Linked DNA regions of Kluyveromyces lactis. The protein of the gene in region 7 purifies or fractionates together with the protein of the main gene of each other region. This does not show direct contact. Links are inferred from orthologs where the notes say so. Each region holds a gene or a part of one and is shown on either strand. Other genes may lie near its edges. The genes, in order: KLLA0_E14257g, ARX1, SDA1, ENP1, RBG1, SIS1 and RPL25.

Region 1 (2,830 bases), about 590 kb from region 7:
TAGTTGACAAAAAAAAAAAGAATAAACCGACGATCATTGCATTTGGAACGGGTTAAATTGACGACCCTTTTGTCTCCTCCTTGTTAATCACATGCCAAACTCTGAAGGGATGAGTTTTTGACCGTTGCTTTACCAGAATACTAGATGAACTCAGAATAGTTAAGTCACGTAAAAAAAAATGGTGCTTGTGTTTACCAGCTGAAAGCATCTTGTCAATAACGGTATCTGGCAGAGCAGCGTCAGTTTTCTTTTTTTTTTTTTTTATCATCTGGCTTCAGAATCGTAAGAATGTCCCACTTTTCAATCTGCATTGTATGGAAGTCCCCAACAACGTTGAAATGTCTCTGTTCTCTCATCATCAACAATGACTAGAAAATAGAAGACCGACATGGCAGCCGGATACACACATGCGCCCTCATATCCGAATCTTTGAACAGCTGCTGACACCAAAATTGTGTTGAGGCTGAAACGCTGATTAACTCCAGTTGTTACAGTAACGGTAATCTAATGTTTTTAATATGTTTAGTCACATGATCGATGCTAAAAGGTTATCGATTCCTCCATTTACATACACACATATGCATATATAAATTGATGTATTAACTATGCAAAGCTGACAGATTTCTTCTTCTTGATAGGTTCAGACTGAGCTGCTAATGTCTCTTGTTTCAGTTCTTGCCTTTTGGTTTTCCTACGAATAGTTCTGGCAACGGATGCCTTCTTCTTGATTTCATCTTTCTTACCCTCTAGTTGTTCCTTCTTTTCGGTTTCTTTTCTTTCCATTTCTTGTCTCTTTAGATCACGAATTTCTTCGAGTCTCCTTGTCTTCTCTAATTTGCTCTCTGTTATTTCATCATTTTTATCACCTATCGTTTTGATTAATCTGTTTAACGCTATTAAATCATGATCACCGATGAACTTCTTCCCCTTTTTACCCTTTTTGATTTTTACACCAGGTACAATCGCTCTATTAAGTGTTGGAATATTTAATTCTTTCTCGGTATAGCGTCTTTCCTTCTTCTTCTGGCTACCATATAGACGTGCTTTGAAATTATCCTTCTTCACCTGTAACTTGGTTGGTTTCTTGGTATCAGATTTTTCAGTCATTTTAGGCACGTTTGCCATTTGATTTTTGGCAATAGAGTCCTCGAATACTTCTGATCTTACTTCCCTCGTTCCATTTTGTTTCTTGGATCTCTTAGCCGTTTTTGATTGTTTGGGAGCCATCTTTCAAGTTCGATGGATTGTTATGCGTCAAGGATTTTTCTTCTATAAGTCTGATTATTGTAAATTCAGACTTGTCTCGCGGTTTAACTAGTAGACAGCGTACCCAGAGGTATAAATTCAAGTCCAGTTGTGCTTTTGTAGTAGTTGTGATAGTGTTCTACCAAAGCGATGAGATGAGCTCAATTCATCATCGAAAAGTTTTATTTTTATTTCTTTTCGCTTGGTAACACTTTATTTCTTGAATTCCTGCATGTCAATGTGAAAAAATAGAATAAACAATTAAAATAAAATAGAATAAATTAAATTAGATAAAAAAATATAAAAAAATATAATAATGATAGAAAATGAATAAATGATCAGAAACAATAAGATGATACAGAGTACACAACTCACGACTAGTATAAGGTAATATAGGTACACTGTGCTGGAGTTTAAATGTCAGATATCCGAATGATATTAGTTTTTCTTTCAATTGTCTTTTTAAGTATAGTAATAATAATGATAATCCATATAGTTATGTTGTATATTAAACAAGACAGTAGTGAACAAAGTGATGTATATATATCACGTGCAAATAAAATATAATTTCAAATTAGTTTTAATTCTTCTTTTATTTTTCTAGAGAAAATATCTATTAATTTTCTCATAATAGAAATAAATAAATTTTTACTTTTTTTATAATTATCTATTTAATTTAAATAAAACTTAATTCAATTTATTTTAAAATATTGTATAGTTTTACTATTCCGAAAAATAAATATATTTTCTGTTTCAATAGGAAATTAATAATAAATATTAAAAAATTAAGCCGGGAAGAAGGTAGTGGAGATGTTATTGTATGGAGTTGTGAGAGAACTTCTAAGGTGTCATTTTTTTTTCAGAAGCAGTAAATATACTACTGGAGCCGCTATGAACTAGGATCTATACGATAGCATATTGTTATTGATCAACAAATCCCGAAAATATATAAATAGAGTTTTCTTCATCGAATTCTTCCATTCGAATTTGACGATATATCTATCATTGTTCTACATTTATATGTATGTTAGACGGCATATACCAAGAAGAATATCGAAGAAGAACCAAAGAACATCATAAATAGTTTACATAACACATGCGAAGCTCTTAATTAAATCCCCAGGTTATCGTCCAGAAAGTACAGAAAAACCCGATCAGGAGATCGAAATGTCCATCATCAACTTTTACATCACTATCCCTCTAGACCAAGTCCCTAATGTCACTACTTCACAGTATCCTGTTCAATAAGAGACAGTACCATATTCTCAAAACTTGCTATTTTTCAATTTAATCGCGGTTAATACATTACCAGTAGTACAGATTTGGTTTATCAATATCAGGCCTAACTTATTCTTCTTATAATGAAGAAAGCTCTTAAAGTAAAATAGCAGTAGACAATTCTTGCCGCTAAGGCGCTAGTAATCCACGACATCGTGGTCGAAACTCAAGATAATCCAAAAAGGACTAACTATCTTTGATTTCTATTTATCTAAATGAGAAAAGAATTCTCGCATGTTAATTTGACAATTCATGAAGTTGAAGTAATAAGTCTTAGTTACCAGCTTGTTTGACAAGTGAACCATCC
Region 2 (3,654 bases), on a different chromosome or scaffold from region 7:
ACGGTATCACGCTTAGTGATAGCGTTTTCAATACCAACGGCAATGGCTTCTTGACCGACAGAGGAGTGACAGAAACCTCTAATTTTCTTAGCCTTGTACAAAGCGTCACAGGCCATTTCCATTCTTCTAACGATAATCATATCCTTGTACATTTGTAGCAAATTGGACTTGGTGGTTTGATAACTTAATTCAGGAACATCCAAAAGATAACCTTCAAAAGAGGTTTCTGGCAAATCAATTTGAACTAGGTCATCATCACCTGGCTTAGTTTCATCAGCAACCTGGGACAAAGCACGGACGTTTTTAGAAAAGTTTCTAACCAATCTCAAAGAGCTGGACTTCCCAACCACAGAGGATTGAGCTTTCAAAGATAGCATGGTTTGCCTAATTTATTGTTCTTTTCGGTATTAACTACTATAGCGACCAACAATTAGAACACACAAATACACACTCAGCAGTAGTGATGGCAAAATATGTTGTATAGAGAAGAAATAAAGAAGAAGAAGCTCTGAGTTCCTGATTCTATATTAAAACAAAAAAAAGCCAACTAATGAACGATTCCTTGTTCCAAAAAATTTGACAAAAATCAATCAATCAATCAATCAGTCAGTCAATTAATCAATTGCTTGGCTCAGTATCACTGAAAGACCAAAAAAAGGTTCTTAATCACGCAACAACTGTTTCTCATCATATTCACAATTAAATCCGCCTTTAAATACTTGTGAACTTGGGAAAAAAACTTCAAAAAATTTCGTAGCCAGCCAGTCGGTATAGATAAGGGACTTGAAATAACAAGAAGTGGGTATAAGCAAGGTCAATTTTGCTCTAATTGGGGTCAAACTTGAACCGTTGGGTAGCTGATGATGCGGAGAGTATTGATATTCTACTTATTATGGGATATCTGACAGTTTCGTCTGGTGTAGGTAGAGTTTATTGTGCTGATTCAATTAGACAGACGGGATTGTTGTTAGAAAGAGTGGGAAAAGTGACGTGCACAGCGCGGTGTTTGGGTGGAACATGGGCAGCAGATCTATTACCCGGATAATATGCGGGTCATGAGTTCTAATGATACACATTACCCGAATATTAATACTTTTGGCGCACGTGATCAGAAAGTGATTTCTTTTTCATTCTCTTCTGATCGAGGTCCGGGTAATATTTTGGAAAATTTTTTGAAATATCTTAGTGCTGTGTGGCAGGAAAGGTTGTATCCAGGAAAGAAATTTGGAAAAAAAAAGTATCAGTGAAAACTTTAAAGCGATGAGATGAGATGAGGTAAAGAGAAACGAGGTACATACTTACATCATTATCATAGTGTATCGTTCCCTCCTTTGTATCAGAAAACAGCTAATACTAATAATTTGTGGATAAAATTATCCGTACTATGGCGTTACAAATCTCAAAGGAAGACACTCAGGTGTTATTGAAAGATAAGAATGTATTGATCGAACCAACAATTGAGAAATATAGAACTGCAGGTCAAATTGCTCAGACTGCTTTAAACTTTTTGATCAGTTTGATCAATAAGATGTATCATGAGAAGTCTATGGAGCCGCTACCGATTCATCAACTTTGTTTATTGACTGATTCGTTCATAGCCGATTGTTTAAGTACTAAGTTCAACAATAAGGTTAACGAGAAGGGAATCTCAATGCCAACTTGTATTGATATCGATGAAATAAACGAGAACTGGTGTCCTGAAGTGGATGACATCGAAAACTTGTCCCGTTGGAACCAAAAATCTAGATCTACCAAATCGATCGAGCTATGTAACGGTGTTACTTCTAGTTTGTCTGGGTTTTTGAAAGTTGGTGATGTCGCTAAGATCACTTTGGGTTGTCACATCGATGGGTACACTTGTAACGTGTCCCACACCGTGGTCATTTACCCAACCGTTCAGGATGCCCAATCTGGAAAATTGCTACCTGAAGCTGCTTTGCTAGGTGGTAAAGCTGATGCTCTAGCTGCCACCCATATCGCTGTTGAGTCCGTCACTAACTTATTAGCTGCTGCAAACGATTTGACCAAACTTCCAGCTGATTTCAACGCTACGAAGGTCACTGGTTCCTTGATTAGGACCGTAGTTGACACCATTGCTCAATCTTATAATTGTTGCGTTGTGCCTGGTTCTCGTATCAGAAGAATCAAAAGATTCCTTTCTGGTCAAAACGAAAATATCATTGTCGAAAGAGACTTCAAAGGTGTCATTTGGACTGAGTCTCATCAGGAAGCTGCTATGCTTGCTAGAACCGTCAATGAAACTGCTGTTGATGTCAAGCGTAAGAACCCATTTATCACCGAAGATACCGTGGTCCCAACAGATGATTTTACCGTTGTCAAGGGTGAAGTTTACATGATCGATTTGAAGTTGGCTCCATTGCAAGGATTGGAGCCAGGTTTGATCACTTTACACACTGTCGATCAATTCTCCGGTAAATCTGAATCCTCTGATGTGGTGGCTAGACCAGGTGCCATCTGCCGTGATTTTTCAAAGAGCCATGTTCTAAAGTTAAGAGCTGCTAGACAAGTGTTGACCAGATTGGATAAACAAGGTGTATACCCTACCAAATTAGCTCATATCGCTGATTCTTTCCCATTGGACGTACAGGAGCCTGATTTCGAAACCATCAAGCAAGAAATCAAGCCATTCAGATTAGGTCTTTCTGAAATTTCTAACAACTACCTAACAATCGACAGAGATGTCACCATCGTAAAACACGTTCCTTGGGCTAAGATCTTGGATCTAACAAACCCATCCGGTGTGTCAAGTTATGACGCCATGGCAAAGAATAAAGGTTTATACCCAGGTTTCGAGCTTCCTCTACCTAAACTAGGTTTGTCCAACCTACAGTTGAAATCCTTGCTAAAAAAACACTCTACGCCAGTTCCTGTGGTCCGTCAATGTGTCACTGTAGCCATCTGTGATGAAGAGTTGCTAAGAATCAGCGGAAACCTAAAATCTAACTGGGTTCATTCTGTTTACTCTATGGATACTGCAAGCAATATCGTTGCAGGTATATTCAAACTGGCTCAATTGTCCGAGGATAAGAGATTTGGTTTGAAGATCAGAGAAACTCAACCATGGAAAATGAAATTCTAATTTATTCATTACCAGTATTAACTACCTTCTTTGATAGAACTACTTCAACAGATAACAAATTCTATTTCATACACAAACACCCTTTTCGCATCTGCACACAATAACTCTACATTGATACACCAGTTCATATTATATTCAATACTCGTTTGATTTCGGTAGCCCAAGAGTCTTGTTCTTATGAGTCTTTATTCTTACCAACCAATTGCAACAAAAACAATGTATAAATAGCAACTTCTAAGTATCTTGTAGATCTGTACACTAGCAAAATCATAATAGAACTCAAGCTCTCAACTTTGTCATTAGTTCTTCTACTATTAGTGTGTTTGCTTCGGAAGGATTATCAAAACGTTCAAAATGATGGCGGCTAATTAGATTTTAGTATAAAAAGGATTTGGAGTCAGAAACCAAATCAACAAACCCAACTACCAATGAATATGACATAGCGAGATATCTAGTGCACATAACTAGGAGCGAGAAGGTGATCCTAAAAACCAATAACTTTGCATTTCATTCTACTTGAAACGTCCCATTCCATTTCTATTTAAGCTGTCATG
Region 3 (4,293 bases), on a different chromosome or scaffold from region 7:
AGCGAGGAAGCCGTGTCAAGAAATCCAATTTTGACTCAAGTGCTCGGAGCGCAGGAACTATCGTCTAAAGAAGTCCTTTATTATTTGAAGAAGCTTTCTGAACGCAGAAAAGCTGAATTCAGTCGTATAAAAGCTACGCATGGAATCGATGGAGAAGACTTACACAAAACTGAGAAAGACAAGAAACGTTCCCTGGATGAAATTGATGGATATAGTCTTGAAAAGGATCCATATAGACCAAGAAATTTACATTTATTACCCACCACAGCTTCTCTGCTTTCAAAAGTCAGCGATCATCCTGAAAATTTGGATGATGTTGATGATGCAGAATTGGATTCTCACTTGTTAGATGAAGAAGCTTCCAAATTGAAAGAACGTATTTGGATTGATATCAACGGTGATTACTTGATTGAACAAGAATCAAAAAGACTCAAACAGGAAGCAGATTTGGCCAGTGGGAATACTTCGCTACGAAAAAAACGCAGCAAACGTACTAATAGAAACCAATCCAGTGCAAGCATCGTCAAAGTTCAAGTCGACGGACTACCGCTTGATGTTTCCGTGGATGACGCTGATGCTGTAGATGTTGTCGCAGCTGGAGGTGTCAAGAATCTATTACAAAAGACGACTTTCTCAAAGAAGATCAATTACGATGCTATTAACGGTCTCTTTGGACAAAAATAGTTTCTACGTCGTCACTGTTTCTCTTCTCTTGTACGATATCCATCAGATCAAACTCAAGAAAATTATATGAATACCAACTGCTATTTACATATCGTTACTTGATACAGATGTCTGTTTTTGCTCTTTTTTATTTTAATATTTTACACTAAATTGGTGTATCAATTTCATTTCGATTATATTTTTGGAACTATATTTAAACGGCGTACATAATTTATAAACATTGCAAACAAATATTCGTTTGGTGTGGACTATTATTCATTTATGGAACACAATAATAAGCTACCATCAGTATACCATTTTGCCTATTCAGATATTAAAGAGCCTTAAACCCACTTTTTGCCTCTGGTTTCTTCTTTCCGTACCGTGAGTGAAAAGAAATTTTTTAGAAGGAAGAAAATTTTGAGATGAGATGCGATGAGATAGAACCTATGTATGAACAAAGTATATCACTCCGAGACAACTAAAGTTGCCTAACACTATTCGAACTTGTGCAAATCAACTAAGTATTTCCGAACAGTGAAAAGGAATCACATAATCAAATAAGAAACAAATATGGTTAGGAGATCTCGTGCTGCTATTCTACCGACAAACATTATTCTCTTGCAGAACCTTGTTAAGCGTGATCCTGAATCCTATCGTGAAGAGTTTCTACAGCAATATGCTCACTACCAATCATTAAGAGACATTTTCATGTTAAATTCGGTCAACAACGAGAGCACTGATGAAAGTGCAATGGCTGAGTTTATGGGAGCAATTGGATTTGTATCTCAAGTTTGTTCCTGTTATCCTCGTGAAACGGCAAACTTCCCAAACGAATTGAAACAGTTAGTATTAGATCACCACAAATCGCTTCCGTTTGACGTGAAAGAAAAGATTATCACCAGTCTAACTATGTTGAGAAATAAGAACGTTATCAGCCCTGAGACTTTGATTCAAACTATGTTCCCATTGCTTATTGCATACTCTTCCCCTAGTAATTCGATGGTCCAGAATTCTCACGCCAAAGAGCTAAGAACTTTAATCTACAACACTCTAGTACAGTTGATGAAATCTTGTAACACCAGTGGTAAGAACCAAAAATTAAACAAATCTACCCATGCGTTGTGTTTCAATTTGTTGGAACAGCCAGATTCTCAAGGTATATGGGCATCGAAATTGACAAGAGAGTTATGGAGAAGAGGTATCTGGGACGATTCAAGATCGGTTGAAATTATGACCCATGCTGCACTACATAACGATGTTAAAATTGCATACAGTGGTGTCTTGTTCTTTTTGGATGCTGATAAAGAGCGTGAAGAAGCGTTTGAAGAAAACGACGATGAGGATGAAATCGATACTACCGCTTTGAAGCACAAGCTCCAGATCAACAAGAAATCTAGTAAAAGAGGTAAGAAGCTAGAGCAAGCACTTAAGGTCGTAAAGAAGAAATCTGCTAAAGGTGTTCAACAGAATAATTTCTTAAATTTCAGTGCCATCCATCTATTACGTGATCCACAAGGGTTTGCCGAGAAATTGTTTGAAAGACATCTAAGTGGTAAGAATTCGAACAAATTTGATTTCGAACAAAAGACTGCCATCATGCAATTATTATCCCGTTTAACAGGTACACACAAGTTAATGGTTCTTGGACTATATTCATACTTCTTAAAATACCTGACGCCAAAGCAAAGGGACGTTACCAAGATTCTATCTGCTGCAGCCCAATCCTGTCATGATCTTGTTCCTCCAGAGACCATTGAAGTGATGGTGAGGAAGATAGCCAACGAGTTTGTTAGCGACGGTGTTTCAAATGAGGTTGCCACTGTGGGTTTGAATACAGTCAGAGAAATCTTGACTCGTGCCCCATTAGCTATCGATGAGACTTTACTACAAGATTTAACCGAATATAAGGGCTCCAAGGCCAAGAGTGTCGCCATTGCTGCTAAGGGTTTGATTGCATTATACAGAGAAGTTGCTCCGGAGATGTTAAAGAAGAAAGATCGTGGTAAGACCGCTTCTATGGGACTACAGGACGACAAACGCAATGGCAGGGAATCCAAACGTGTCAAGTTTGGTGTCGAGACTACTAATGTACAAGGTATAGATGGTATTGAGTTACTAGCGAAGTGGAAGCGTGAGAACGGAAACGAGGAGGATGATGATGATGAGGCTGCATGGGATTTGAACAACCGGGATGAATTATCAGATGCTTCGGATGTAGAAGGTGAGTGGGTGACGATAGAAAGCGATAAAGAGTACGAAGTTGACATGGACTCTGACGATGAGGAAAGCAAGAACAAAACAGGTCATAAGGGTAAGAAACGTTCCCACGATGAAGTCGAACCGGAAGCTGGTGAAGATAGTGATTTAGAATTATCCGGTGATGAAGAAGAACCAAAGGTGGGAGAAGAGCAGAAGGAAGAAAGTGAATCCGCTGACCCAGAAGAAGCTTTCCGTGAATTAGCATCCAGTCGTATCTTAACACCAGCCGATTTCGCTAAACTTCAAGAACTACGTACTGAAAAGGGTGTTACTAAACTTATGGGGATCAACAACGAAGAAACTATTGAGCATTACAAGCTTATGGGTCCAGCCAAGCACAAGAAACAGAACAAAGAGGAAAGAATGGCATCTATTATGGAAGGTCGTGAAGACCGTGAAAAATACGGAAGTAAGCGTGGTAAGCGTGACAGTTCAATGAGATCAACTACAAATAAAGAGAAATCTAGAAAGAAGAACTTTGTGATGATGATCCATAAGAGATCTGTGAAGGGTAAGCAAAAAATGTCGCTTCGTGACAAACAAAAGGTCTTGCGTGCTCATATCACGAAGCAAAAGAAGAAAGGTAATTAAACTAGATGGCATGGCAAAAGTAGTTATATTAATTATAGGCACTTGTAGACACAGCATATAAAAGATAGAAAAAAAAGACACGTCAGTGTCACGTGACCAACTCATTTTCTCCATTTAGCCCAGTTTTGAAGTTGTCCTTTCAGCCAATGTGATATCACCATCCGAGACCACTTGTCTGCTGCTCATATCCCAGGTCAAAAAGGACTATTAACACGGCTTAACGGTGTGCCAACGGTTTTGGACCGAGAAGGACATGATCTAACAGGGAAAAAAAAAACTCGAAAAGAAAAAGAGACCACTACAGGATGTTTGAGGAACTTCAGCTTGAATGGAAATCTCGACACTATCAGCTATATTCATGCGTCGGCATTAAGCCTTCTTCGCATCACGGGCTGTGGCCCGTGATGCTGGCCCGCACTAAATGGGGCCGGGAAGGCATATGTTCCAACGCGTTACTCTCGAGGGAACGATTTACTACTGCCTAGACTAGCTCGTCTCAGTATTATTCAATGTAGTGCAGCAGCATTCACCTGGGGTGATGTCTTTACAATAAAACCTATACAGTACAACAAGAGCCGACTTTAACTCACAATTGAATGATGAGTCGTCAGTGAAGTAATCGCAAACGCAGTTAAGACGAACTATTGAAACGGTCGCACCTATGTATTCCTGTGTTTATTTTAATCTACCATTGATAGCCTCTTGTCTTTTACTTGTTAAGTTTCTATTTGTATGGGGTACAGTAGTAAGAAATCAGGCTTTCAGCCTGATTTCGAT
Region 4 (3,516 bases), on a different chromosome or scaffold from region 7:
GTTGATATAATATCCAATGTTGAAGCAATTAATGACAACGATTCTTTGAAGGAGCTCCGCCAAAGGCTTATGGGTAAAAGAAGGGACAGCGCTGATACGGAGGGTGAATCATTTGACAAACAAATGCAAATTCAGGATGATCTTCAGAAGGAACTGGTTGAAGACATGTCCCAGCTAGTTTCAGGCTTAAGACAAGGTGCGGAAGCTTTCCAGAATGCTATCGAACACGACTCTACTGTTCTTAAGGCAGCAGAAATCGGATTGCATGTTACTTCTAAGAGCCTTTCTTCACTCGGATCCAGATTGAAAAAGTATCACAATGAAAAAATTGGATTTTTAATGAAGTTAGGACTTTTATCGTTTATTATAATTGGTCTATTGGTCACCTATCTTGTAATAAAAGTATTTCCAGATTTATGAGTGTCTTCCGCTAAAATCTCCAAGATTTAGATAAAGGCTCTGCTTCACTCAAAAGCTTCAAAGTACAAAATAGACTCATGAATATTCGATGAAATTAATTGATACCGTTTCCACTTATCGAATAGATTGATTCTATTGATTGTCTTATCTATAATTGCATATTATACACTTGTTTAAAATTGACAGGCACTTATATTGTTATAGGACTATTGACTACAGAACATCAAACATTAAATCAGCTTTATTACCAACATCACTGACAAATTCTCTACTATCACCGGCTAATAATTCTCTTCTGATTTCAGGTCCAATTTCTTTGTGACCTCTTTGACGAACAGTTTCAAGTAGGAAATCTCTTTGATCTTGGGTAATATCATTCTTATAACGTTGAGCAAACGCTAAGAAAGCTTTATGCCATACCACAGGTAAGACTCTGACGGCATCTTGGCCTGTACTTCCATCAGTGACTTCTCTGAATCTCATGAAGTAGAAGACACATTCGTCAACAGTTTGATAAGGCAAAGCATACTTCTTCTCGAGTAGAATTTTGATGAAAACGGTGGTGGCTGGGGAAAAAGGTAATCTTAAAAGGTAGGACAATGCTGCAGCAGAATGAAGAGCTGGCACAGAGACCTTGGATAACACACTTGCAGCAATGGTAGCTTCTCTAACATTACAACCGGATTCCACAAGTGGGAATAAGAACCCTTTGAAAAAGGCAGCCGGTTTATACAATGATTTCTTTAATGCACGGTAGACATGGTAATTTAAGTTGTGATCTTCGTTAAATTCAATTTCTTCTCTGAAGCGTGGTAACAACACAGCTATAACGAATTTTTGGGCCTCTTTAGATGATAAGTTAGAAACAAAAAGTTTAGTACCTTCGTATATAGCATGCGGAGACCATTCCTCTGGATTAGTAACATAGAGAACATCTTGCCAGTTATTTAGAGAAGGCAAAACTTTGAATAGTTTGGGTAGTTTACCATGTCTCCAGGTCTGCATAATGGTACCAACGGCAAGGTATGCTTGAATCACCTTGGGTGGTAAGGCGACACCTTCTGTACGATCTACAGGTGCAGCTGGTTCCGCTACTGCAGAGGCATCACCTGCTTCTTCTTCATTATACTGTAGTTCCATCTCTTTTTCTCTAATAGAAGCCATAATCTTATCGGCAAGGTTATATGATCCATTGGCAGAGTTGAAATCAGCAGAAGTCTTGAAATATTGGTCAAACATTTCAGCATCTTCTTCGTCAATTTCTACCACTTCTTCCTCCTCGTATCCTTCGAAATCGTCTTCATCTTCCGGTTCAAAGTCAGATATGTTATTACCTTGAGCTTCCTCTTCCTCAGCTACATCATCTTCATCCGCATAGTTGGCCACACAGAATCTGTTTATTCCTTGGCTGGATGTCTGCAGAGACTGCTCGTCCTCTTCCTCTAATTCTTCCTGCTGTTCCCTAGCTAATTGCAAAATTTTTCTAGATTGCTGGGCATCGACAAATTCTTCATCTTCATGGCCTTTTTGATCCTTAGCATCGATCTTTTTCTTACCTTGTCTTTTCAACTTACCATGTTGAGAGTCAAGATCGTTCAATAAAGGATCGTGTCTCTGTTTACGACCGCTGCCACCCATTACTTTACCCATTTTCTCCGTAGAACAAATAAATCTTGTATCACTAGTCGTATTCTGAGCACTAAAGCAGACACTAATGAGTAATTTTGTGATTGTTATCTGCCATTTACCTCATCTCATCTCATCTCATCTCATCTCATCGCTTCTCATCTCATCGTTACTTATTCAAATCCCAAAAATTTTCAGTCAATGCACGGACAGAAAAAGAAAGGCTAGAGATACTCTGTTTAGAGAAGTCAAAGGTTCAATTAAATAACTCTGGAGCATTGGCAGCGGGATCGTCGTGATTGAAACAGATATGCCACAGCGTTGAACACAAATTCAAGCTACTGTAAACAGCCAAGAGCTATGTTCTTCTAATGATTACAGGCAAAGAATGTTGTTTGTTTTGCACGTGACTTTAAAATCTGGAAAGATTTTTCAACTGCAGCTTAGATTCGTTTTACGTATATATAATTAACAATGGATCAAGTGTAATGTGATCTCATATGCGTGGTGACACATTGCTGGTCTCTTGTTCACTCAAGCTTCTCCCTTGAGTTGTACTTATCGATTGATCAAAAACCAAGTGTTCATTTCCGTTTTTTTCGTTCCTTGCAATCTTAGCAAAGTTACAATTAACATTAGACTAGGCCCTTCCAATTAATCTTTTAATTGACCACCAGTTACTGAAGAAATCATGTCTAAAAGATCTTCTAGTGTAGCGAACACTCCAGTTAAAAGGAAGCATTTACACTCTACTTTGAATCATAAGTTTGTTAGCATCAATTCTCAAGATGATTATAAACATTTGTATAGATCTGTTGTTCCACTTGACATTTTTGTATGGGGAACTGGATCAATGTGTGAACTAGGCTTGGGTCCTCTAGCTAAAAACAAAGAAGTTAAGAGACCTAGACTCAATCCCCTTTTGCCCCGTGATGAGGCTAAAATTGTGTCTTTTGCTGCAGGTGGAATGCACACCCTAGCGCTAGACGCTGACAATAACATCTGGTCGTGGGGGACTAACGACTCAGGTGCTTTGGGTAGAGACACTAGCGGAGCTGTAGAAAAATTGAAAGATATGGATGCAAATGATAGTGATGATGATGAAGATGGTGACCTCAACGAAATTGAATCCACTCCAACTAAAATTCCTAGAGACTCTTTACCATTGGACGAATTAAGATGTGTACAGATTGCTGCCACAGACAATCTATCTGCTGCTCTATTTGAAAATGGTGACGTTTACGCTTGGGGTACCTTCCGTTGTAACGAAGGTATTTTAGGTTTCTACAGAGATGAGATTACCGTCCAGAAAACCCCTTGGATAATCCCTAACTTCTCCAAGAAAGCCAAGATTGTTCAAATGGCTGCTGGGAAAGATCATATATTGTTCTTGGATGAAACTGGTATTGTTTACGCCTGGGGTAATGGTCAACAGCAACAATTAGGTAGAAGAATTTTGGAACGTTCTCG
Region 5 (3,024 bases), on a different chromosome or scaffold from region 7:
AGGCAATACGCAACTCCACGACTAAAAAGAATGGCGTTAAATAAATAAGGGATTTATTTCTCTGCGAATTTATCCGTTATTCAATGGAATACACTCTCATCAGTAGGCTGCATTTTCCTCCAGATTTCCTTGTTTGTTAATTCAAGCTGTACTATATCGCACCTTAAAAGGATTCATTAAAATACTGCTGTGATTTTGAGGATTCCACCAATACTATTCACATTCATTTCTAATAGAATAATATTCACTTCGTCAAATAACCGAAGTTTCATTCATTCATTCTTTCTTTCCATATCACCATCAGCATCCATCATTGCTTTTATATCTTAACATATATGTTGGCCAATATAAAAAGGCCATATGTATCCGTTGCTATCGATTTCACAAAATATCATATATTTACTACTATTTATGAATTTAAACATAACACGACAAATCAGTATTGAGTTAATGTTTAACAGAAGTTATGGCAACCTGAGTAATGAACGTTTACGATAATCTAACCAGATCCGTCTATGGAAAGCTGTTAAATAAAATGGATAACACTACATGAAAATGCGATGAAAATGCTAAAAACTATGATGACGGTGAGAAGAATGAGAAAAAAAAAGTAGCCTGTATTCATTTCTTCAAAATTGTGACAACATCTTCATCTTCTAATGTGTGATTAAGCCCCACATATTGAGGTTGATGCTTCACACTGCTGCCGTACACTAAAGCATTTCTGAAGTCCTCAACTAAAGATTTGTGAATTTGGTTACAGAAATCTCTTACGGTACACCTATCCGACCTTAACACCACTGGGTCTGTGAAATCAGGCATCGTACCCTTTGGCTTAGTATAAACACGGACTAAGTTTAGTCTATCCCACATAACTTCTAGTAGTTCATCCAAATTCCATTCCTTACCAGAAGAGATTGGAACTGCATTTGGAATTCTGTATAAAAGTTCCAATTCTTCTAATGACAAAGAATCTATCTTGTTTAGCACATAAATAGCTGGCATATACCTTCTTGATGGAGCTTCAAGTACATCAATCAAATCATCGACGGTGGCATCACATCTGAAAGCAAGCTCCGCACTGTTGATTCTATATTCACTCATAACAGCTCTAATTTCGTCCGGGCCTAGATGCGTCAATGGTACTGTATTTGTAATGGAGATACCACCTTTTTCCTTTTTCTTGATTAAAATGTCTGGAGGTTGCTTGTTCAAACGGATACCAACACCTTCCAATTCCTTTTCAATGATTTGTTTATGATGCAATGGTTTATTAACGTCCAAAACAATAAATAGTAGATTACAAGTTCTGGCCACAGCGATAACTTGTTTACCACGACCACGGCCATCTTTAGCACCGTCAATGATACCCGGCAAATCCAACATTTGAATCTTAGCACCCTTATATTTGATGACACCTGGAACCGTAACTAAAGTGGTAAACTCGTACTCAGCAGCCTCAGATTCTGTACCAGTCAGCTTAGAAAGTAAAGTACTCTTACCCACTGAGGGGAACCCAACAAATCCGACTGAAGCAACACCGGTCCTGGCCACATCGAAACCAACACCGGCACCACCACCACTACCGCTTGAAGCAGCCTGCAATAACTCTCTTCTAAGTTTCGCTAGCTTAGCTTTCAACTGACCCAAATGAAAAGAAGTGGCCTTATTCTTTTGGGTACGGGCCATCTCATCTTCGATGGCCTTAATCTTCTCTACTGTCGTAGACATCTTTTATTTCAATTCAGATATTGATCAGGAAATTCTTCAAAATAAATCCTTTTTTTATAATTTGATGCCAACCTCAGTGGAATACTGACTGATACCTATCGATTCCAACCGTTTAACTGATTTTGGCCTCTGTAACCAAACTATAATGAAACTCTAATATCATTAATCCTAAGCGATGAGATTGTGAATATCTGTAGAACTTCCTACTGTTGACAAAGATGAAGCTGTCAATTTTTTTCAAGCCGTCCAAGGTGATATTTTATACATCTTCAACGCCGATCGTAAATAGCGATGCTGAATGGCATCGACCGGTCTTCACCCCGAAAATAAGGCTAATGGGACCTTTCTGGCCCCTGAAAGATGAATTTTGGGCGCACCTCACCAAAGACAGGGTAATCTAGTATGTTATTTTTTTCTTTCCATCGAGGTACGTATAATCATGAACTTGAAGTTTTTCATCAGTTTTTTATTTTTTAGTACAGGTTTTTCTCACAACTTAAAACTATTTGAAAGATTGTTTTGCGTAAGATCAATTAAAAGGATTTTACATTATCTCTTTACTTGTTATAACCCTCTTTTACACTTTGTTTGCTGTCTATCATAATAAGATTTCGGAAGAACTGTAAAAGTAGAACCTTTGTATCCGAAAGAGTAGTTCAAGATGGCGAAAAAATCAAAGAAGAATCAACAGAATTACTGGGACGAAGAGTATGAGGAAGATGTTCCTCAAGAATCTTCAGTAGAACCCTCGATAGATGGTTCTGTTGAGCCAAGTGGTGAAACCGAAGTTGCCGATGCATCTGCCATTGAGGAAGATTTTATGTCCACTTTGAAGAAATCTAAGAAGAAGCTGGACAAGAAGGAAGACGAGGATACTAAGAAGCCAGTCTTGAAGTCCAAGAAGGAAAAGGAAAAGGAAAAGAAGGAGAAGGAGAAGGAGAAGAAGAGGGAACAAGCCGCAAAGAAGAAGGCTCAGCAACAAGCGCAGAAGGAAAACAACAAGAAACTTCATGCTGAACAAACTTCTAAACTGAAGGCTGAAAAGGAGGCTGGCAAGTCCACTGAAGGTGCGGCACCAAAGGCTGCACCAAAGAAGAAGGTCCCAGCCGGTCTTGCTGCTTTGAAACGTCAATTGGAGTTACAAAAGCAGCTAGAAGAAGAAGAAAGGTTGGCCAGGGAAGAAGAAGAGAGATTGGAGAAGGAAGAAGAAGAAAAGTTGGCCAAGGCTGAACAAGAAAAGGAAGAAGCTAGAAAGGCTAAGCGTGAGAGAGAACAAGCTAAGCGTGAAAAGTT
Region 6 (2,997 bases), on a different chromosome or scaffold from region 7:
ATATATAAATTTGTAAATTATTTATGCGCGTGTGAAGACACCATTACGTCTTCAATTGAAGTAATGGCAAAAAGTAATGGTAAATGTATGAGGTAGATAGAAGATTTGATAATAATACTTGGAGTTTTTTTTTTTTTGGCAGACATCAATTGTTCGGAACCAAATAGAAGTCGGGAAACTTGCAGATTGGTATGTCTTTTATTTGCATGATGTCATTTGCTCAATAAAAAGGTAAATGAAGGTTAAAATCTATGCAAATGGTTACATTGTGAACAGAAGTCGAGGTGTCACAATGAAACGTCCCGTTTCTTACTTTACCAGTATTAACAATCATTGAATAATTCTCCTTGTATTCTCTCGCATATTATATTGCGTCCTCAACTTATGTTGCGTGCTTCATTTACCGAAGGATATTTTTTTGAAAATAGTGTACAGTGTGGTCAGAAAGTTAACGCATTAATCGACAGACAATGTAGCCATACGATAAGATTGCTTCTGCTGAAGTGAATGTGAATGGAACATTTGAATTGGAAATAATTAATGGGAGTAAACATTTAAAGAAATGAAAACATATGACATAGAACCATAATGGTGGGAAGATAATATTTCTGGCAGACGTTGAATTGTAAACATGATCACCGTCAGAAGTCTAAATTTGCAATCGTCATGTCATACTTTTATGATTTATTTTCGTTATAAAGACATTCTTCATCTTTCATTCAGAAGTTATCCATAATGGCTTGTCTTTGTTGAGGTGTTAAAGAGGTTGGATAATCGATCTTGAACTTAATAATCAAATCACCTCTTTGGGAAGGATTCTTTGACAGTGTCATACCTTGTCCGGGATATGTTGAGGTTTGAGTAGGTTGAATTGGCTGCGTTCTTGTGATTGGAATTGTTTTACCGTCGATGGTTTGTACTTGCTTGGAGAAACCTAGAAGAGATTCTTTGAAAGAAAGTGGTAAAGTGTAAATCAAATCATTGTCTTGTCTGGTGAAAAATTCGTGTGGTTTTTCCTGTAGAACGAATTGTAATGTTTGTCTACCACCAGTTCTTGGATTATAGTCACCTTCACCTTTGAAAGTAATCTTGGTACCTGCTTTCCAACCTGGTTTCAATTGGATGTCAATTTGGTTCTTTTCGGACACACCACCGGCGCCTTTTCTTGTGATCTTGAATGATTTCTTCTTACCGCTGAATAAATCTTCTAAGGACACAGGTAGATTGACCTGAACAACTTCTTCTTCAGGTCTAGCCTGTTGTCTACTGAATCCACCTGGCATTCCACCTGGCATTCCACCTGGCATACCGCCTGGCATGCCGCCCGAAGAGGAATGGAAACTACTGCCTCCAAACCCGAAATCATCACCAGACCCGCCGCTAGCAGAGAATCCAAATGGAGAAGCACCTCCGGCAGCACCTCCTCCACCAAAGAACTGTGAAAAGATGTTGAAAGCGTCATCTTGTGAGAACGCATGTCCCCCGGCAAACCCACCAGAAGAAAATCCTCCAGGCCCACCAGGCCCACCAGGCCCTCCCGCTCCTCCAAATTGAGGAGCATTACCACGAGCAGCCTCTAGACCATAAGTATCGTAAACTTCCCTCTTCTGAGCATCTGAAAGAATCTCAAAAGCCTCAGAGATTTCTTTAAACTTCTCAGTGTCACCTGTAGGCTTATCTGGATGATACTTCAAGGCAGCCTTTCTGTACCCTTTTTTAATCTCGGCTTCACCTGCACTAGGCGAAATTCCTAGCAAATCATATAATTTAGTGTCCTTAACCATACTCCTACGACGTTTCAAATTTGGTAATTGTCCTTTTGTATATATGTCGAATGATAGTTCAAATTAGCTCTATCTAAACTAGAAGAATTAGAGTAAACTAAAAGAATCAGTTAATGTTTACACTGTTTCGAGATACCAATGGGACAAAAGATGCAATAAAACTCTTCTCTAAACATGTCGATCGAATACCAACGACCAATAATCTTTGAACGAAAAACATCCTGTTCTTTGAAAACCTTTATATAACATTTCATTCCTATATATTCAGGTTCAGTTCTGTTGCAACCGATCATGTTCTTTCAGAGTATACCCTGGAACCTTCTAGAAGTAAAAAAACATGAATGCTTTAAGCACGCGAGATTCATGTGACAATCACGTGATATAGAAGTTTCCCACCAATACAAATCTGTCATCACAAAGCCGCAAATCAGGTGTCATTCAATGACATTAGCCACTACACAATCTTGTGGCTATCTCTATGCCTCCACTTTTGTTTCAATTGCTGTTGTTTATATCTCAATCATGAATATTGACAAATTATGGTTTAATGTGATAAAGAATATGCAATATACTAGATGAAAGAAAGTCTTAAGGAATCTGAGGAGTTTTCAAGGCTTTTTCTCCCCTGTGAACAAGGTAGAGGTTTCTTATTGTGTACGGTCAGACTAACTTCAATATTGCCATGTCTGTTATTCTAGCGAGTGCTGGATACGACCACACAATTAGGTTCTGGGAAGCTTTGACTGGAGTCTGTTCACGAACCATTCAACATGCAGATTCCCAAGTGAATCGATTAGAGATTACGTCCGATAAGAAATATTTGGCTGCTGCTGGTCATTTACACGTCCGTCTTTATGATATACGGTCGAATAATCCAAATCCGGTGTCCTCTTTCGAAGGCCATAAAGGGAACGTAACGTCGATTGCATTTCAACAGGAAAATCGATGGATGGTATCGTCTAGTGAAGATGGGACTATTAAGGTTTGGGATGTACGGTCCCCATCTGTGCAAAGGAATTACAAGCATAATGCACCTGTCAATGAAGTAGCGATACATCCGAACCAAGGGGAATTGATTTCCTGCGATCAGGATGGGAATATCAGGATTTGGGATCTTGGTGAAAACCAGTGCACAAACCAGCTGACACCAGAAGATAACACGCCATTACAGTCGTTGTCCGTTGCAAGCGACGGATCGATGCTTGTTGCAGGA
Region 7 (3,009 bases):
TTTCTACAAACTATTTCCAGATATATGACTTCCAAAAATGGTACTATTGGTTGAATATGTTTTTGTGGGTAATGATAGGGTTCTCAATATCATCTATTTTCTTCCACTTTGACACAAATACAGACTTGTTAATGAGTTGGGTTGGAGTTATTCTCTTCACAGTCTATATATTCGTCGACACGCAATTAATCCTAAGAAAAGTTCTCGTCGGTGAAGAGATCAAATGTGCTATGATGTTGTATTTGGATATCATCAACCTATTTTTATACATTCTACGGATCATGTCAAGAAATCAAGACGATTAACACCTTTTGCATACTTACAAAACATGTAAATACATCTTATGTCCAAGTAAAAATATGTTCTGAACTACCCTTTATGTCTCAAGAGTCGATACCCAGATTCAATATTACAAGCTGTTAACGTCTCATACATTGATAGCTCTCAAAAGCTTTAATGAAATCCATTCTTTTCTTTATTTGAAACTAAAATGATTTAATTGAAATACACGATTTATTCAGTTGATATGTATACATTAAAAATGATTAGATGTAACCGATTCTGTTGGCAATGTCCAAGGCATCGAAGTCGGCAGTCAATCTGACGTAAGCCTTCTTGGTACCGTTTGGTCTAACCAAGGTGTTGACAGACAAAACATCAACTTCGTATAATTCCTTGACAGCCTTCTTGATTTGGTACTTGTTAGCCTTTAGAGAGACCTTGAAAACCAAAGTGTTACCATCTTCAACCTTCTTCATGGCAGTTTCAGAAGTGATTGGTTGTTCGATGACTTTGTAAGAGTCCAATCTGTTGTAGTGTGGGACAGCCTTGGTAGCGTACTTTGGAGATCTAGCCAACTTCAAGGTCTTTGGCAATCTGAAGGAAGCAGAGGTTCTGACCTTCAAAGCCTTCTTACCATTGGTACCCTTAACAACAGCCTTCTTAGCAGCAGTAGCCTTAGCTGTGGAAAAAATAATAATAGGAAATTTTGTTAGTAAAACTGGATTTAAATGTTGATTGAAGGATAACTAGTTCGATAACGGCATGATTTTCTTCTGTAAAACTAGAGAATTGACTTTAAGTGTATTAAATGTAAGGTGTATTTTATGCTCTGAACGGTACAGGGAAAGCGTCGAGTGGGCCTTTTAACATGTTTTCAAAAAACTTAACTCATAAACACCGATGAACCGTATAACTACGCATCGTAACTTTTCGACGTATCATGATAAAGTATTCCAATTTAAGGATCTAATCGAAATAGTAGTTGTTTAACCATCATTTAAAAGGCTGATAACTCGTACTTTATGTTCTCATTGCAGCGTGTTTGTGTTCATCGTTTCATTTGATGTTCATCCGCTTTCATGACAGGTTCACACATAGGTAATATCATGTACAATTATTCAGATCGTATTGTTGGTTTCTCATTAGCGTACTTATTCTACCATTCGTTTGCTCCCACAGGTGTGTAATTACACTCTCAAGGTAATATCTTCATTCTCACTTGTTCAGCCCGCGGTAAGTCGTTATCCCACCATTATCAGCATGTAGCTTTCAGTTGCGCATCTCAGTAACATACTAGATGGAGCCATTTTTGTGTCTTGGTTGTGTGCGGCCTCTTTGAATGCTAATCAAGTGTACTCTAATACCGAATGATATTGAAATATTCTTTAAAACGTTCAATATTACTTTTGATGAAACAATACAGATACAAGGTCGCAAGCGAAACTGTCCGTAGTCGAAAGGAATATTCAGCACGAACAGGGTATCCCTGGCCAGGTAGCACAATCGCACTGTGATTTGCAGGTACAGGATATGGCTCCAGGCTCAGGGAAGGAATGGATGATAGGCTGGATGGACAGCAGTTCCTGCCTACGCACCTCAGAATGTCAGTGCGAGTAGAGGGGAGAGTGGGCAGAATCAGAGTCCTCTCGCTGGGAAGACTAGACTCGAACGGAGCGACAGAAGGAGAACGGTGAGAACCTGGCAGCCGGAACGCCTCCTCTGCCTTTCCTTTTTTTAGAACCTCCAATTGAAATTTTAATTACCTAAAATGGAATACTAAAATACCTAACAATTTTTACAAAAAATCTAAAGCCAAATCCGTGCATCCACAAAACAGTCCCGCTACTTTCCGGAAAATTTTAAATCTTCGATGAAATTAGCATCCAGAGATTATAAGGCATGAGCAATGTCATAATTGTGTGAAATCATACTTCGAATTGCTGTCTTAATGTATTTAAACGAAAATTCTGGTGCGTTACGTTAAATTTATATACATGCATTATTTGTTATTATACCGAATTATTTTCCAAATTCATGTCTATACACAGAGACTATTAGTGAAAGATGAAATGGTGAGAGACCGAATCACAATCTTCTTGGTCTTGGGGCCTTCACACCACCGAATTTCAATTCAGTAGCATCGGCTACTCTAGATATGTGACGTCTGATGAGGTTTCCTTCCTTACCGTTCAATGCACTGATGAAAGCATCTCTTCCCTTACCGAAGTCTCTCATAACAATTTCTATATTCTTATCCAGTAGCTTCTTCTGATAAAGAGTTTCAAATAACTTAGTTGCTGTTTGGAATGAGGCTTCATATTCACCACGGGCAGCTTTACGGAACCCTAAATGACCAGTAGATAAATGAAATTTGACCTGTTGTGGGAGTTTCAAATAGTATAGATATTTTTCGTTGTAGGATAATTGTGGATTGTTCGCCAAAAAGTTTCTATCCTCCATTACGGCACTGTATGTGAAATGTGTATTGTTCTTAGTGAATCTGCAGTTCAATATATATTTTATCACTGCTTCATCGACTCTCCCTTTCTTATTGCTACCACGAAGAGTATTAGGTTGGACAACATTGGTGTCTTCCATCACTGGAGCCTTTTCTGATCCTTTGACAGATGAAAATAAGATGGAAGCCACATCTTGGTTTGTCCTGGCCGTTGAGCTGAACAGTCTCACTAATGTTCTCAGCATCGTGGTGTATTTTCGACGCCGATT

What was found.
Region 1: the proteins of RPL25 (region 7) and KLLA0_E14257g purify together in Saccharomyces cerevisiae (affinity purification with mass spectrometry; 3 studies listed by BioGRID). This does not show direct contact. The link is inferred for Kluyveromyces lactis from reciprocal best matches to the Saccharomyces cerevisiae genes RPL25 and LOC1.
Region 2: the proteins of RPL25 (region 7) and ARX1 purify together in Saccharomyces cerevisiae (affinity purification with western blotting; 4 studies listed by BioGRID, with this or other methods). This does not show direct contact. The link is inferred for Kluyveromyces lactis from reciprocal best matches to the Saccharomyces cerevisiae genes RPL25 and ARX1.
Region 3: the proteins of RPL25 (region 7) and SDA1 purify together in Saccharomyces cerevisiae (affinity purification with mass spectrometry; 3 studies listed by BioGRID). This does not show direct contact. The link is inferred for Kluyveromyces lactis from reciprocal best matches to the Saccharomyces cerevisiae genes RPL25 and SDA1.
Region 4: the proteins of RPL25 (region 7) and ENP1 purify together in Saccharomyces cerevisiae (affinity purification with mass spectrometry; 3 studies listed by BioGRID). This does not show direct contact. The link is inferred for Kluyveromyces lactis from reciprocal best matches to the Saccharomyces cerevisiae genes RPL25 and ENP1.
Region 5: the proteins of RPL25 (region 7) and RBG1 purify together in Saccharomyces cerevisiae (affinity purification with mass spectrometry; 3 studies listed by BioGRID, with this or other methods). This does not show direct contact. The link is inferred for Kluyveromyces lactis from reciprocal best matches to the Saccharomyces cerevisiae genes RPL25 and RBG1.
Region 6: the proteins of RPL25 (region 7) and SIS1 purify together in Saccharomyces cerevisiae (affinity purification with mass spectrometry; 3 studies listed by BioGRID). This does not show direct contact. The link is inferred for Kluyveromyces lactis from reciprocal best matches to the Saccharomyces cerevisiae genes RPL25 and SIS1.

Annotation. Positions count from the first base shown.
Region 1 is NC_006041.1:1,262,016-1,264,845, forward strand, and holds KLLA0_E14257g (Loc1p), read right to left. Parts: upstream 1,228-2,830; coding exon 604-1,227; downstream 1-603. UniProt on the Saccharomyces cerevisiae protein: Required for efficient assembly and nuclear export of the 60S ribosomal subunit. Involved in asymmetric localization of ASH1 mRNA.
Region 2 is NC_006042.1:1,098,152-1,101,805, reverse strand, and holds ARX1 (putative hydrolase), read left to right. Parts: upstream 1-1,384; coding exon 1,385-3,100; downstream 3,101-3,654. Other genes in the region: PDA1 (pyruvate dehydrogenase (acetyl-transferring) subunit E1 alpha), read right to left, coding at 1-377; recombinase DMC1, read left to right, coding at 3,652-3,654. UniProt on the Saccharomyces cerevisiae protein: Probable metalloprotease involved in proper assembly of pre-ribosomal particles during the biogenesis of the 60S ribosomal subunit. Accompanies the pre-60S particles to the cytoplasm.
Region 3 is NC_006037.1:498,861-503,153, forward strand, and holds SDA1 (Sda1p), read left to right. Parts: upstream 1-1,236; coding exon 1,237-3,516; downstream 3,517-4,293. Other genes in the region: transcription factor TFIIIB subunit BRF1, read left to right, coding at 1-684.
Region 4 is NC_006042.1:637,165-640,680, reverse strand, and holds ENP1 (snoRNA-binding rRNA-processing protein ENP1), read right to left. Parts: upstream 2,071-3,516; coding exon 634-2,070; downstream 1-633. Other genes in the region: SNAP receptor USE1, read left to right, coding at 1-420; SRM1 (Ran guanyl-nucleotide exchange factor), read left to right, coding at 2,738-3,516. UniProt on the Saccharomyces cerevisiae protein: Required for normal export of the pre-40S particles from the nucleus to the cytoplasm.
Region 5 is NC_006042.1:2,172,797-2,175,820, reverse strand, and holds RBG1 (GTP-binding protein RBG1), read right to left. Parts: upstream 1,732-3,024; coding exon 622-1,731; downstream 1-621. Other genes in the region: KLLA0_F23309g (uncharacterized protein), read left to right, coding at 1-48; FUN12 (translation initiation factor eIF5B), read left to right, coding at 2,393-3,024. UniProt on the Saccharomyces cerevisiae protein: Involved in ribosomal function.
Region 6 is NC_006040.1:410,896-413,892, forward strand, and holds SIS1 (type II HSP40 co-chaperone SIS1), read right to left. Parts: upstream 1,785-2,997; coding exon 720-1,784; downstream 1-719. Other genes in the region: TOR complex subunit LST8, read left to right, coding at 2,467-2,997. UniProt on the Saccharomyces cerevisiae protein: Required for nuclear migration during mitosis. It is required for the normal initiation of translation. Might mediate the dissociation of a specific protein complex of the translation machinery. Essential for viability.
Region 7 is NC_006041.1:674,986-677,994, reverse strand, and holds RPL25 (60S ribosomal protein uL23), read right to left. Parts: upstream 1,590-3,009; coding exon 1,577-1,589; intron 962-1,576; coding exon 546-961; downstream 1-545. Other genes in the region: BXI1 (Bxi1p), read left to right, coding at 1-305; MRPS18 (mitochondrial 37S ribosomal protein YmS18), read right to left, coding at 2,368-2,985. UniProt on the Saccharomyces cerevisiae protein: Component of the ribosome, a large ribonucleoprotein complex responsible for the synthesis of proteins in the cell.